3 linked regions of the Arabidopsis thaliana genome follow. The protein of the gene in region 1 interacts with the protein of each later gene in a pairwise test. Each region holds a gene or a part of one and is shown in the gene's direction. Other genes may lie near its edges.

Region 1 (4,101 bases):
TTTATTTTTTCAAAAGCAGAAACCATATGAAACCAAGAGGACTTTTACAGGTAGCTAACCTCTTCTTGAAACCTCTGGAGCATGAGCCGCTTCTGCTCAAGATCAGTGGCGTAAGGATCTAACTGACCCTGTCCCAGAATCGGTGATGCCCATGTTTGCCCTTTCTCCCTCTTCTGCAGGGTAATGTGCATTATATCATCCTCTGCCAAATCAAACATAACAATCCAGATTAGCAATCAGTGCCAGACTATGAACCTAAAAAAACTATGCCAGTAACTTACATACGCTGATAATATAACCCAAAATATACTGTACATTCCATCATCCCTCCATTAGTCTCAAATTTTCCACATTCCAAACTATATGTCCCACTATTTATACCAAACTCAGATCACATTTCCAGGTTCAGTTTATCCTCTCTAGCAATAGTGAACGGGTCTAAAAACAGAAACCTAACCATCAAAAACAAGCACCCAATACAGACACAAAAACAAAAAATGGAGTACCTAGAGTCCAGAACGAGCAATCAGTCTTCACAGGAGCACTAAGATCGTGCTGAAAATTGACAAAATTTAGACAATTGAATCGAGTTATATATACCACATCGAATAACTCAGATTTATGAGACAAACGGATCAAAAACATTGAAAGATAGCGAAAGAAACTGACATTGAGATAGGGAGGGTTGCCTTTGATGCCAACTTCGATATGTTTCGACTGGATTTTGCAGTGGAATGACTTTGGATGAACATTTGGCGGCAAAGTTATGTACATGTTCACTTCTTCCAGGGTTTGATCCCACTCAAATACCTTTTGACCTATAACCATCGGAAATCGAAGAACATTCAAACCAAATCTCGTGAAATGGAATCAGCTGAAATTAGAGAAATAGAGCGAGGGGATAGAGAAAGCGAGAAACCATTGTGAATGAAATCGTGTCTCTTCTCTGGCGCAAGCTTCTCCGCCATATCTAGGGTTTTCTTCTCCGTTCCCGGCGAAATCGATCACCGTTGATAGTAGTTGTTCTGGTTCCTTTTCAATTCGTCTCAACATTGGAGGACAGGCATTTATGATTCAGTCCTTTCATAATCATGTATTTTCTTTTAGGGTTCTTAGTTTTAGTTATTTACGCTTAGATCCCTTTTCTTGAGGTACACTCCGTTTCTAACTTGGAAGTCAAAACTCCATGCCGTTTTATTGAAGTTCTTCCAAGTTCCAAGAAACATTTTTTTGTTGTCGCCAAAGTAGAACACTCTTTCACAATTCCACAGAAAATTTAAAGATGAGAAGTGGGTCTATTCAATGCATAGAATACGGAGGAAAACAAAATTGAAAGAAGAGTAATGTGTAGGTCTACCACAAAACATGGTCCATTTTAAAGCCTTAAACGTAGCCAAGTGTGTTAGTTTTTTAGCTTTTCAATGTCCTTTGGGACAAGAGATACACTGTACCCATTTCCCCCTTTCAGTTTCTTCAACGTAGACAGGGTAGTTATTCAATTTTCTCATATTAAAACGTTATACGTGATCAAAGACTTTGACTTATAACAGAAGAATAATTTTGATCAATCAAAAAGTTGTTTGATAATGTAAATTATGGTCTTCCATTTCGCTAATCCAAAAACTTACTTTCTCAATTCCATTGGTCAACTTGTTTCATTTGATGAAATTCGATATGATACATGTTTGGCCACTGCATGAATCGAACGACAGTTAGATCTCAAATCGGTTTGGTTTCGGGTACATGAGTTCTAGTTATGAAAAAACAATCATCACGACTCACGAGTGTATATATAACTAGTTCATTGAATAAGTTGTCGGCTAATATTCGGTTTTGACCGGTGAGACTGTTAACTAAAATGAATACTATTAGAGTAGAGACCCACTTGAAGTGTACTATAATTTTAAAAGCCGGCCAGCAACCACGGGCCAGACTCTGCCTCTCGCAAAATCTTGACCGTCCGATTGAGAACCGGACAAAATGCTGTACACGACGGTTCCTTAAAAAACTATTGTAACAACTGTTGCTTTCGTAACACATTCCAGAACCACAAATTAAATTGATAAACACGTTAACATGAAACCCAAAACACTGTTTGACTTTAGTCTATTTTATCTTAAACAAATGTTGCTTCGTTATGCTACATCGTAGCTGTGTTCAAAGCAACTTGCTTTGGATAATTTATCATAGCCTTTAAAACAGGTAAGCATCGAGTCTTGAAACTATCCTAAAACACGTTGAATCAGTCCCACAAACTTTTTTTGTCTTTACTCTAAGCGTTTATATGAAGCTTTGATCAAAGTCCATAACTCACTAATAATCACAATGGGGTCTGAAAATGGCAGCTTGATGAGAAGAAACGAAGTAGACGAGAATGTAGCGTTAATCTTTGGCGTCACCGGGCTTGTGGGTCGAGAGATTGTTAAGACGCTATTAATGTCTAAACCAGGATGGAGAATCTACGGCGTAGCGCGTAACCCGGAGATCAATTCCATGACGAAGATGTACAACTTCATCTCCTGCGATCTGCTTAACGCATCTGAGACTAAACAGAGGTTGTCTCCATTACAAGACATCGTGAGTCACGTGTTTTGGGTCACGTGGTCTGGTGAGTTTCCATTGGATACCGACGAATGTTGCGTACAGAACAAGACGATGCTGATGAACGCTTTGGACGCGATTCTCCCAAACGCTAAGAGGTTAAAGCATTTCTCGCTTCAAACGGGGATGAAGCATTATGTGTCTTTGGTGGAAGAGACAATGGCTCGTGGAGAAGGTTCGAGTTTGTATTATTACAGCGAGGAGTGTCCAAGAAAGAGCTCTGGGAAGAATTTCTACTATGTTTTGGAGGACTTGCTGAAGGAGAAGATCACTCGTAGTTCCGTTGTTTGGTCGGTTCAAAGACCTGGTTTGCTAATGGGAAGCTCTTCAAGAACTCTGTACAACTTCATGGGAAGTCTTTGTGTTTATGGAGCGATGTGTAAGTATTTGAATCTTCCTTTTGTGTTTGGAGGAACAAGAGAATGTTGGGAAGAGAGTTACATAGATGGCTCTGATTCGAATTTAGTCGCGGAGCAGCATATATTCGCTGCAACAAGTGGGAAAGTACGCGAGAAAGGGGAAGCTTTTAACGCCATTAATGGAGTAGGGTTTACTTGGAAGGAGATTTGGCCGGAAATAGGGAAGAAACTTGGTGTACAAGTTAACGAAACAACCATGTTTGATGAAGGTTTCTGGTTTGGGAGAGAGATGGTTGAGAGAAAACATGTGTGGGATGAGATTGTTGTGAAGGAGAAGCTTGTTAGGACAGAGATTGAGGATTTGGCGAATTGGTATTTCTTGGATGCTCTGTTTAGATGTCCGTTTAAGCTTCTTGGGAAAAGAGAAAAAGTAGATAGGTTTGGGTTTAAGAGGAAATATAGAACCCTAGATTCGGTTTTGTATTGGATTGATGTGATGAGAGATGAAAAACTCATTCCTTTGTAACACATGTTGTACATTAGCAATGTAGATCACGGTATATATGTACTTGATCAATAATCCTCATGTAAGTTTTGTTTGTTTGAATAATGAGCTTTCCACAAATCCTTTTAAGCTAAATCATTAAACATAAATCCTTTGCAGTGAAATGCAATAGCTAAGTTAGATTCCAAGCAGTGGATAACCAAAATTCCAGTCAGGTTTCGTAAACGCGTCCGAACAAATGTGAATGTATTGTGACATATAATAAGATGAAGTAGTGGCAGACCATACTTGAGACAACAACAAGATGATTAGCTGGACTCAGTTTGTTTATCGATGTTATTGCATACGTAGTACAGATGAGTTTTGGCTGTCAAGATGACGTAAGAGTAAAGACATTTCATCCCATGTCTCCACTCTTCACTCAGCGAGATCAAGAATCATTCCAACAAGTAAGAGAAAACAGGGGAGAGTAAAAACTGAAGAGAAGATTCAAGATTGATCCATTCCACATACTTACTACAATTCATACTTAAGAATCACCAAAAAGGATTTCAAGAAAATGCCATACAAAAGCCGATCATGCGCCCCCAAAAGAAAAAAGAAGCAAAATTGCCGCCAAAGGCAAAACAGGGGATG
Region 2 (3,660 bases), about 23 Mb from region 1:
CATTTCTAAACAAAATAATCCAAAATCACTTCATCAGAGCGTTTGAAAGAATCTTCGAAACGAGAATGCAAACGTAAAAACGATGGGCTTGGGCCTAAGCGAATAAAAAAGGTTTAAGGATAAAAGGGGAAAATTCCTGGGTGGTCTTACTCTCTTTATCCGCTTGACTAAAAAAAATTGGCGTCGAGTGATAGAGACGAAGAAGAAGAAGAAAATGCCGTGCCTCAACCTCTCCACCAACGTTAACCTTGACGGCGTCGATACATCTTCCATTCTCTCGGAAGCTTCCTCCACCGTCGCGAAAATCATCGGCAAGCCTGAGAACGTAATCCCTTTTTCTCTCTCGATTTAACCTCTAGTTCGTTTCGTTCTGTTCGAATTTTGTTTCGATTCTTCGTTTTCTCCTGAGATTTGCCTTGTGTGCGTCTTTATCTCTTAATCATTTTCTTCTCCTTATTGAATAACAGCGATTCGAGTGTTGTTTTCTTCACATGCATGATATAGAAACCCTAAGCAATTTTATCTCGTTGCTCCGTTCTATTCTAGTGGTTCACATTTCCGGAGTCTTCTCTTGACTTATTTGTACAATCTTCGTTGGGGTTCTTCTTTTTTATTTTACCACGATTTCTAGGCCATTCCTGGCCCTTGAATTTCTCATTGCTGAAGTTTGTTTTCAAAAACAATATTGGTCTGCTTTGACGATTGCTTGTTTATGTTAGTGATGTTTAAATATTTTTGTCCTGTAATGTTGTTTCTTAGATCATTATCTGATTGCATTGTTCATTGTGGTAATTTGCAGTATGTGATGATTGTCTTGAAAGGCTCAGTGCCTATGTCATTTGGCGGGACCGAGGATCCTGCAGCTTATGGTGAATTAGTTTCTATCGGTGGCCTTAATGCGGATGTGAACAAGAAGCTAAGCGCTGCTGTTTCCGCCATTCTTGAGACTAAGCTATCGGTGCCCAAGTCTCGATTCTTCCTCAAGTTTTATGACACCAAGGCAAGCAATTCCCTCTCTCTGATAACTTTTTTGATGTAGTGACATAACATATGCAAATGTGTTAATGATTTCATATGCCCGATATGCGTCCATGTCTCATTTTCATTGTTCGTTGTCTCTCTAGGACCATCAAAGTCAAGAATATGCACAATGTTTACACGCTTTACACCAGCACTACTAGGTCATGAATAGGGAACAAATACATCTTATGTGTGTAAGTTCATCATCATAAGACGGACCTATAACTTTTACTCATAAACTAGGCATTATAAACAATTAAATCAAATGCATAAACCGTTCCACTACTCGAATTCAATCTTTACACCCACACTGTTGAGTTATTTAGGAGATTCGTTCAACTTCTCTAAATCCGTTGTCTAACTGGCTTAGAGGGTCATCCATCATCTGGAGTGTTTATGCCTATAACCACCTGATATATCAATTATACATTTCTTTTCTCGTGTGGTTCTTCTTGCAGGGATCCTTCTTTGGTTGGAACGGGGCGACTCTTTAATTCCGTGGTAGGTGATTAGTGTGATTGTCTTGAAATGTATGATCTACTCTCATCGATCAAGTAACTTTGAACTACTTCGTATTGTAAACATATCTAAGGTTTGATGGAGTTGCATTAAGAAATAACATTTATGCTATATATGATGCTACAACTTACTATCAGGGTAAACAATGGTTATTTAGTCTTTGTCTACTCGTTAGATATAATTATGTTTAGAATTCGAAGATGAATGTTATCAAAGAAAAAAGGATTTGACATTGTCAAGTCTACTACTCCATATGACAGATCAACATTGTGTTAAAAATATTTTCTATTAGGGAAACTTCCTGTGACTGGAACATTAATGGTCAAATGCACTTTGCCTAAGTAATCAAGAATTATTGTATAAACTACGTTAAGCAAAAAAATAACCTGAGTTATAATATCAGGAGGTTATTTTTATTTTTATTTTAGCAAATGAATATAGATTAGCTATCAGATGAAGCAAGGTGTATAATCAAAGTTGAAAGACGCGTAATTGTGATCCTATATATACATAACACTACCGCAACTTCAGCAACCTCTAAATCATTCGTCTCCTAAAATTTTCCAATCTCAAAATCCCAAAAGAACAAAATCGAATGGTGTCAACAAATCCCCCTGTTCTTCCAATTTCCACCACCGCAACAGACACCACCAATCAGCCTCCGATTGTAACCGCTGTGGTGGAATCGCAACCTCCAGTCGTCCGTGCATTTGTCAACGGTGTGACCGAGACGGTCTGTGGTGGTCTATCTCGTAGCCGTCCGTGGTCAGAGCTCCTCGATCGATCCGCTTTCACAAAGCCTGACTCTCTCTCCGAGGCCGGGACGCGATTCCGGAAAAATTCCTCTTATTTCAGGGTGAATTACGTTTGCATTGTCGCTCTGATCCTTGGTTTCTCTCTTCTCGCCCACCCATTCTCTCTCATCCTCCTCCTATGTCTCGCCGCTTCCTGGCTCTTCCTCTACCTCTTCCGTCCATCAGATCGTCCTCTTATCCTCTTCGGCCGATCTTTCTCCGAATACGAAACTCTCGGTGGCCTAATCCTCTCCACGATCGCAGTGATCTTCTTCACAAGCGTCGGATCTGTATTGATATCCGCTCTCATGATCGGAATAGCAACAATCTGTGTCCATGGCGCCTTTAGAGCTCCCGATGATCTCTTCCTCGACGAACAAGATCATGCCGCCTCCGGATTCCTCTCATTCATCGGTGTTCCCGCGATCCCCTCTGTAGCACCCTCTGCCTCCTCAGCGGCTTCCCCCGTGTAAATTATAGTTCTCAGAATCTGGCGTGTTTAGAGATTTGAAGGTGGAGATTGTTGCAATGTAATTTTCTGTGATACTTGACCATTGTTGCAATGTAATTTTCATTGAAGTCAGTCACCAATCACATTGAACAGATGTTTTAAAATGTCCACGTAAGCAATTATTGTTTGGAACGATTTCGGGTTAGCATTCGTGCCGTTAGTTACCGCAATAAAAGGCCGTGGCAATATCACACTTGTCTTGGAACGCTATGTCCGTAAAAACCAAGCCCAAAGTTAAAATAAAACCACGCGTCTCATAATTTCGGCCCAAATCTTTTTCAACTTTCCCGCCTTTGTCAGAACTTTTAACTTTTTGGATTTTTGGTGATGATTTTGGTTTGGGGAAAGAAAATAAAACAATAAAAATAAAAATTCCGCACTCCCGACTCCTCCCTCTTGGCGTGGTAGGCAATTCTGAATCGCGAGGTTTAGTTCTCCGGCTGAATCATATAACGACGAATCGGAAAACTTGGAAACCCTAGAACTGAATAAATGTCGACGTGGCATTTATTTTCCGATTCCAGCGGCGATGGTTTCCGGTGGGAAGTCGCTGGCCGGATTCTTCAGTCCGTCTCGGATTCTACGCCAACCAAGGCGCTCGAATCGACAGCTCCTCTACCTTCCATGGCCGATCTCTTGCTCCAAGGTGATTCTTCGTATCTTCCTTTTCTTTGTCGAATCGTGTTTGTCATGTGACTCAAAGGAGATTGAATTATTATTTGATGCTTCAAGGATGCTCGAAGCTTATAGAACGGGAAGAATCGATGCCTGGGGAAATCCCAATGTTCAGGACTGGGCTGGGGAAGTCTGTAGTTC
Region 3 (3,664 bases), on another chromosome or scaffold:
TTGCAGAGGATTCAGATATGAATGTTGCTAATGAGAGAAGAAAAATGTCGTTGGGTCAGATGCTTGCAAAGAATAGCAGTAGTGATAAAACTGTAAGCAAGAGAAGTGAAGGGAAAGAGAATGAGAAAAGGACGAAGACTCGAAAGAGAAAGAGTTTCGGATTTGCTAAGATCTCTGTGTTGTTGAACAAAGAGAGCAAGAACAAGAAGAAGAAGAAAAAGATAGCTTTGAACTTAAGGTGATATTTTGAATCTGTTGATGACTTCTTTCTGTTTTGTACGTGAACCAGTAGTTTAAGAAAACAAAGTGTATCATCAAGTGCTTTATTATAATGCTAATCTAGGCTAATTAATCCCAATACGACCATATTAGCATTGACAGAGAAACGAAACAGAGAAGATGATGAAGTATGGAATTTTTCAGTAACTTAATTCTATTACAAAGCTTCTTTTATACTCTGAGAGTTAATATGTATACATAGAACAATCAGTTAAGAGACTAACTAAATCATCATATGACTCAAGGGACTAACAAACTTATCATTTTAAACTGAGGTAGTATCTAATATCCAATGAGACTTGGAACATGATTAGGAAACAATGGTTTTGTAAACACATCTCCTAGTTAATTCTCTCTTCGTAAGTGTAGAGCCATGATCAAAGTAGCTTGGATTCTTCTTCTCACAATATGACTTTGGTGCGTTAATGAAACAATGGATTGTTGTTGGCAATGTGTATAGCTGCAGTAGTAGCCACATATGATATAGCATTGACAAATTGCCAAAACACTTGACTCTGCATTCGCCTCTGTTTTGGCCAACTCTCTGACACCTCTTTAAGCCACAAAACCATTGTAGTAGACAAGAGATTTAAATGACTTACATCTCAAGAAATCAACAAGACTGCCTAATCAATAACGCATTGATCAAAACTACTGAGACTTTCCATCAGCTTTTCATTGAAAGAAAACAAACTGAAAGATTTGAATAAAAGAGTTAAAAGAGTTCACTCCCAAGTCCCAATCACCAACCTCCATGTCCCAGAAGACGCCAATCTCAGCCGCGGCGAAATCTCTTGTGGAGCCGGGAGCGAGACATGGTTATTGGTGTTCTCTGTGTTGAAGATGACTCACCCACCTTTGTGTAATCCTCTGTCTCATAACCATCATCGTTTCTGTTATTGGTTAACTGAAGTCTCCCCTTGAACTGAAGTACTTGTCCACTTCTTGGTGACCAGTTGTGAGATCCCACGATTGAAGATAGGCTTTCCTCCATATGATAGGCTTGTCCAAAGCCACACTGCAGTTACTTGACTAAGAAGCGATTGTGATAAATCATCATCATGAGCCAAGTTCTCAGGCTGAGCTAAGAGAATATTCCCAGTCCTGCTTTTCATCATAAACGAAAGACACTTGACGTACGAGCAGTCATCTGTGATTTTGCTTGAGATTACCATGAGATTAGTTGGTATACGTGTCCGGTCAACTGTCCATAACATAAGCTCCTCCAAAAATCATAGAATGTATCCATTACCTTAATAAATCTTGATTAAATAGTAATATACCGTTATCGGAAAAATAAAATTCAATATAATAGTTTCATTCACTTTTAAAATTTTGGAAAAAATAGATATAAATATAAAACTCTTTAACATTTATCTCCCTAAAACACGAGATTTAACCTAATATAGATCATAATTAAATCAAATAATAATAGGAAAACCAAAAAGGAAAAGAGTCACGTTTATTGTCGGTGACCCGTAGCAACGAAAGAAATAGGAAGGTCAACAATTTTCTCATACCCGTATATAAAACAAATCTATCTCTCCTTCCCTCTTTAATTTATTAATCAGATCTTGCCCAATTCTTCAATTTCTTCAACCCTAATTCTTCTCTCTTTCTCAGATCTACCAAACTTGATCTCCAATGGCTTCCTCAGCACCACCAGTCCTCCCAATCTCCAATCCCCAAACCGTTCCATCCGCCGCTCCTTCCTCCGTCGAATCTCAACCACCGATCGCTACTCCAGCTTTCCGCAATTTCATCAATCAGATCACCGAAACCGTTAAAAACGGTCTCTCTAAGCGTCGTCCTTGGGCTGAGCTCGCGGATCGTTCCGCATTATCCAAACCTGAGTCGATCTCCGACGCTGCTGTTCGTATCCGCAAGAATTACTCGTATTTCAAGGTTAATTACCTCACCGTCGCTACAGCGATCGTCGGATTCTCTCTCGTCACTCATCCTTTCTCTCTCGTCTTCCTCCTCTGTCTCCTCGCGTCGTGGCTCTTCCTCTACTTGTTCCGTCCCACGGATCAGCCGATCGTTCTATTCGGTCGTACATTCTCCGATCGTGAGACGTTAGGGTGTTTGATTTTGTTCAGTATCTTTGTGATCTTCCTCACCGATGTTGGATCTGTTCTGGTTTCGGCTATGATGATTGGTGTTGCGTTGATCTGTGCTCATGGTGCTTTTAGAGCTCCGGAAGATCTTTTCCTTGATGAGCAAGAGCCTGCTGCTACCGGATTCCTCTCTTTCCTCGGTGGTGCCGCCTCTTCAGCCGCGCCTGCTGTTATCGCCGCTCGCGTGTAAATGCGATTCCGATCTACCATTCCCTCGCCTGGGTAAATCTTTCTATATGATTCATTTGTTGAATTTGATACTTAGATTTTGTTTTTTTAATCTGAAAACAATAAACGTGAAAATGTTGTGGATCTGGCCTAATTTTGGTTCTTGTTCATGGGCAATAGCTATAGATGAAATATATATCTTTGCATGATTTTGATTTGATGAAGTTTTACTACCGTTTTGTGTTAATCTTTAGCCTTTTTTAATTTACAAGTGTTGTTTTGGAAGATATGGATTTATTTCATGATCAAATTCAAAATGCAATGGATCTGTTTATTAGAACTTGTAGCCATCTTTTGATTTGTTATGTGACTACATTGCACTGCGTGTATACAATCAAAAGAGTCAAATTTGGATGCATGTGCATGCAAGATCCATCCAAATTTCACCAGTTTTCAAAAGCACCCATCATAAGACAGACCTGGATCAGAGTCGTAGGATTTAACGAAAGGAAATTACTTCCTATTGAGGATGAGCAGCAGAACAATATCCACATTACGCATTTACGCTACTTGACTTGACTTGAAATCGTGGGTCGGAGCAAATGCGATGCACAAATAATTCGATGAGCAGCTTTAGTATTGGGCTTCGTACTCGAGTCCGGCCCAGTATAAGCTCATTTACTTCTTTTCGAGTCCAGTTCGGCAAAGGCCCAATGTCTATGAAATATCGAATTGGTGGCGTATACCCTAAGCCAACAAGGAAGCTTCGTTTTAAAAATGATTTGTTACTTACCTAAAATTAATAGTATTGGGTGACAATCCACCTTACATTCTTATCTTTTTAAGGGTTTTAGCTTACGGTATAAGTCACCAATTTGACATCTTCCATCAACGAAAATTAGTAAATTACAAAAAAGTACAAAGTCTTAGTCGCAAATATCTCTATAACCAAAAGCAAAGCAATATCCTAAGTTGTATTGACCTCGGAAACTAGAATCTCCTTGAACTTGGGATTTGTCAATGCCAGTGACTTAGAAATTGTTCTTTGCGAAGGCAAAAGCTACAGTTTGTTAGTTGGCGCGCAATTTGAGCTGGGAAGA

The links. Proteins that work in one complex are often made in the same cells at the same time.
Region 2: the proteins of AT5G58750 (region 1) and PRA1.B5 interact in a two-hybrid assay, tested with the Arabidopsis thaliana proteins (one large-scale study listed by BioGRID).
Region 3: the proteins of AT5G58750 (region 1) and PRA1.B4 interact in a two-hybrid assay, tested with the Arabidopsis thaliana proteins (one large-scale study listed by BioGRID).

What each region holds. Positions count from the first base shown.
Region 1 is NC_003076.8:23,726,561-23,730,661, forward strand, and holds AT5G58750 (NAD(P)-binding Rossmann-fold superfamily protein), read left to right. Parts: upstream 1-2,027; 5' UTR 2,028-2,325; coding exon 2,326-3,486; 3' UTR 3,487-3,582; downstream 3,583-4,101. Other genes in the region: AT5G58740 (HSP20-like chaperones superfamily protein), read right to left, coding at 60-202, 507-555, 670-818, 920-968.
Region 2 is NC_003076.8:240,588-244,247, reverse strand, and holds PRA1.B5 (prenylated RAB acceptor 1.B5), read left to right. Parts: upstream 1-1,925; 5' UTR 1,926-2,134; coding exon 2,135-2,806; 3' UTR 2,807-3,036; downstream 3,037-3,660. Other genes in the region: AT5G01650 (Tautomerase/MIF superfamily protein), read left to right, coding at 215-325, 800-1,000, 1,125-1,181; BRCA2B (BRCA2-like B), read left to right, coding at 3,337-3,490, 3,577-3,660. UniProt on the Arabidopsis thaliana protein: May be involved in both secretory and endocytic intracellular trafficking in the endosomal/prevacuolar compartments.
Region 3 is NC_003071.7:16,068,762-16,072,425, reverse strand, and holds PRA1.B4 (prenylated RAB acceptor 1.B4), read left to right. Parts: upstream 1-1,761; 5' UTR 1,762-1,923; coding exon 1,924-2,586; 3' UTR 2,587-3,040; downstream 3,041-3,664. Other genes in the region: AT2G38370 (weak chloroplast movement under blue light protein (DUF827)), read left to right, coding at 1-242; AT2G38365 (endonuclease/glycosyl hydrolase), read right to left, coding at 1,176-1,496; AT2G38350 (uncharacterized protein), read right to left, coding at 3,118-3,357. UniProt on the Arabidopsis thaliana protein: May be involved in both secretory and endocytic intracellular trafficking in the endosomal/prevacuolar compartments.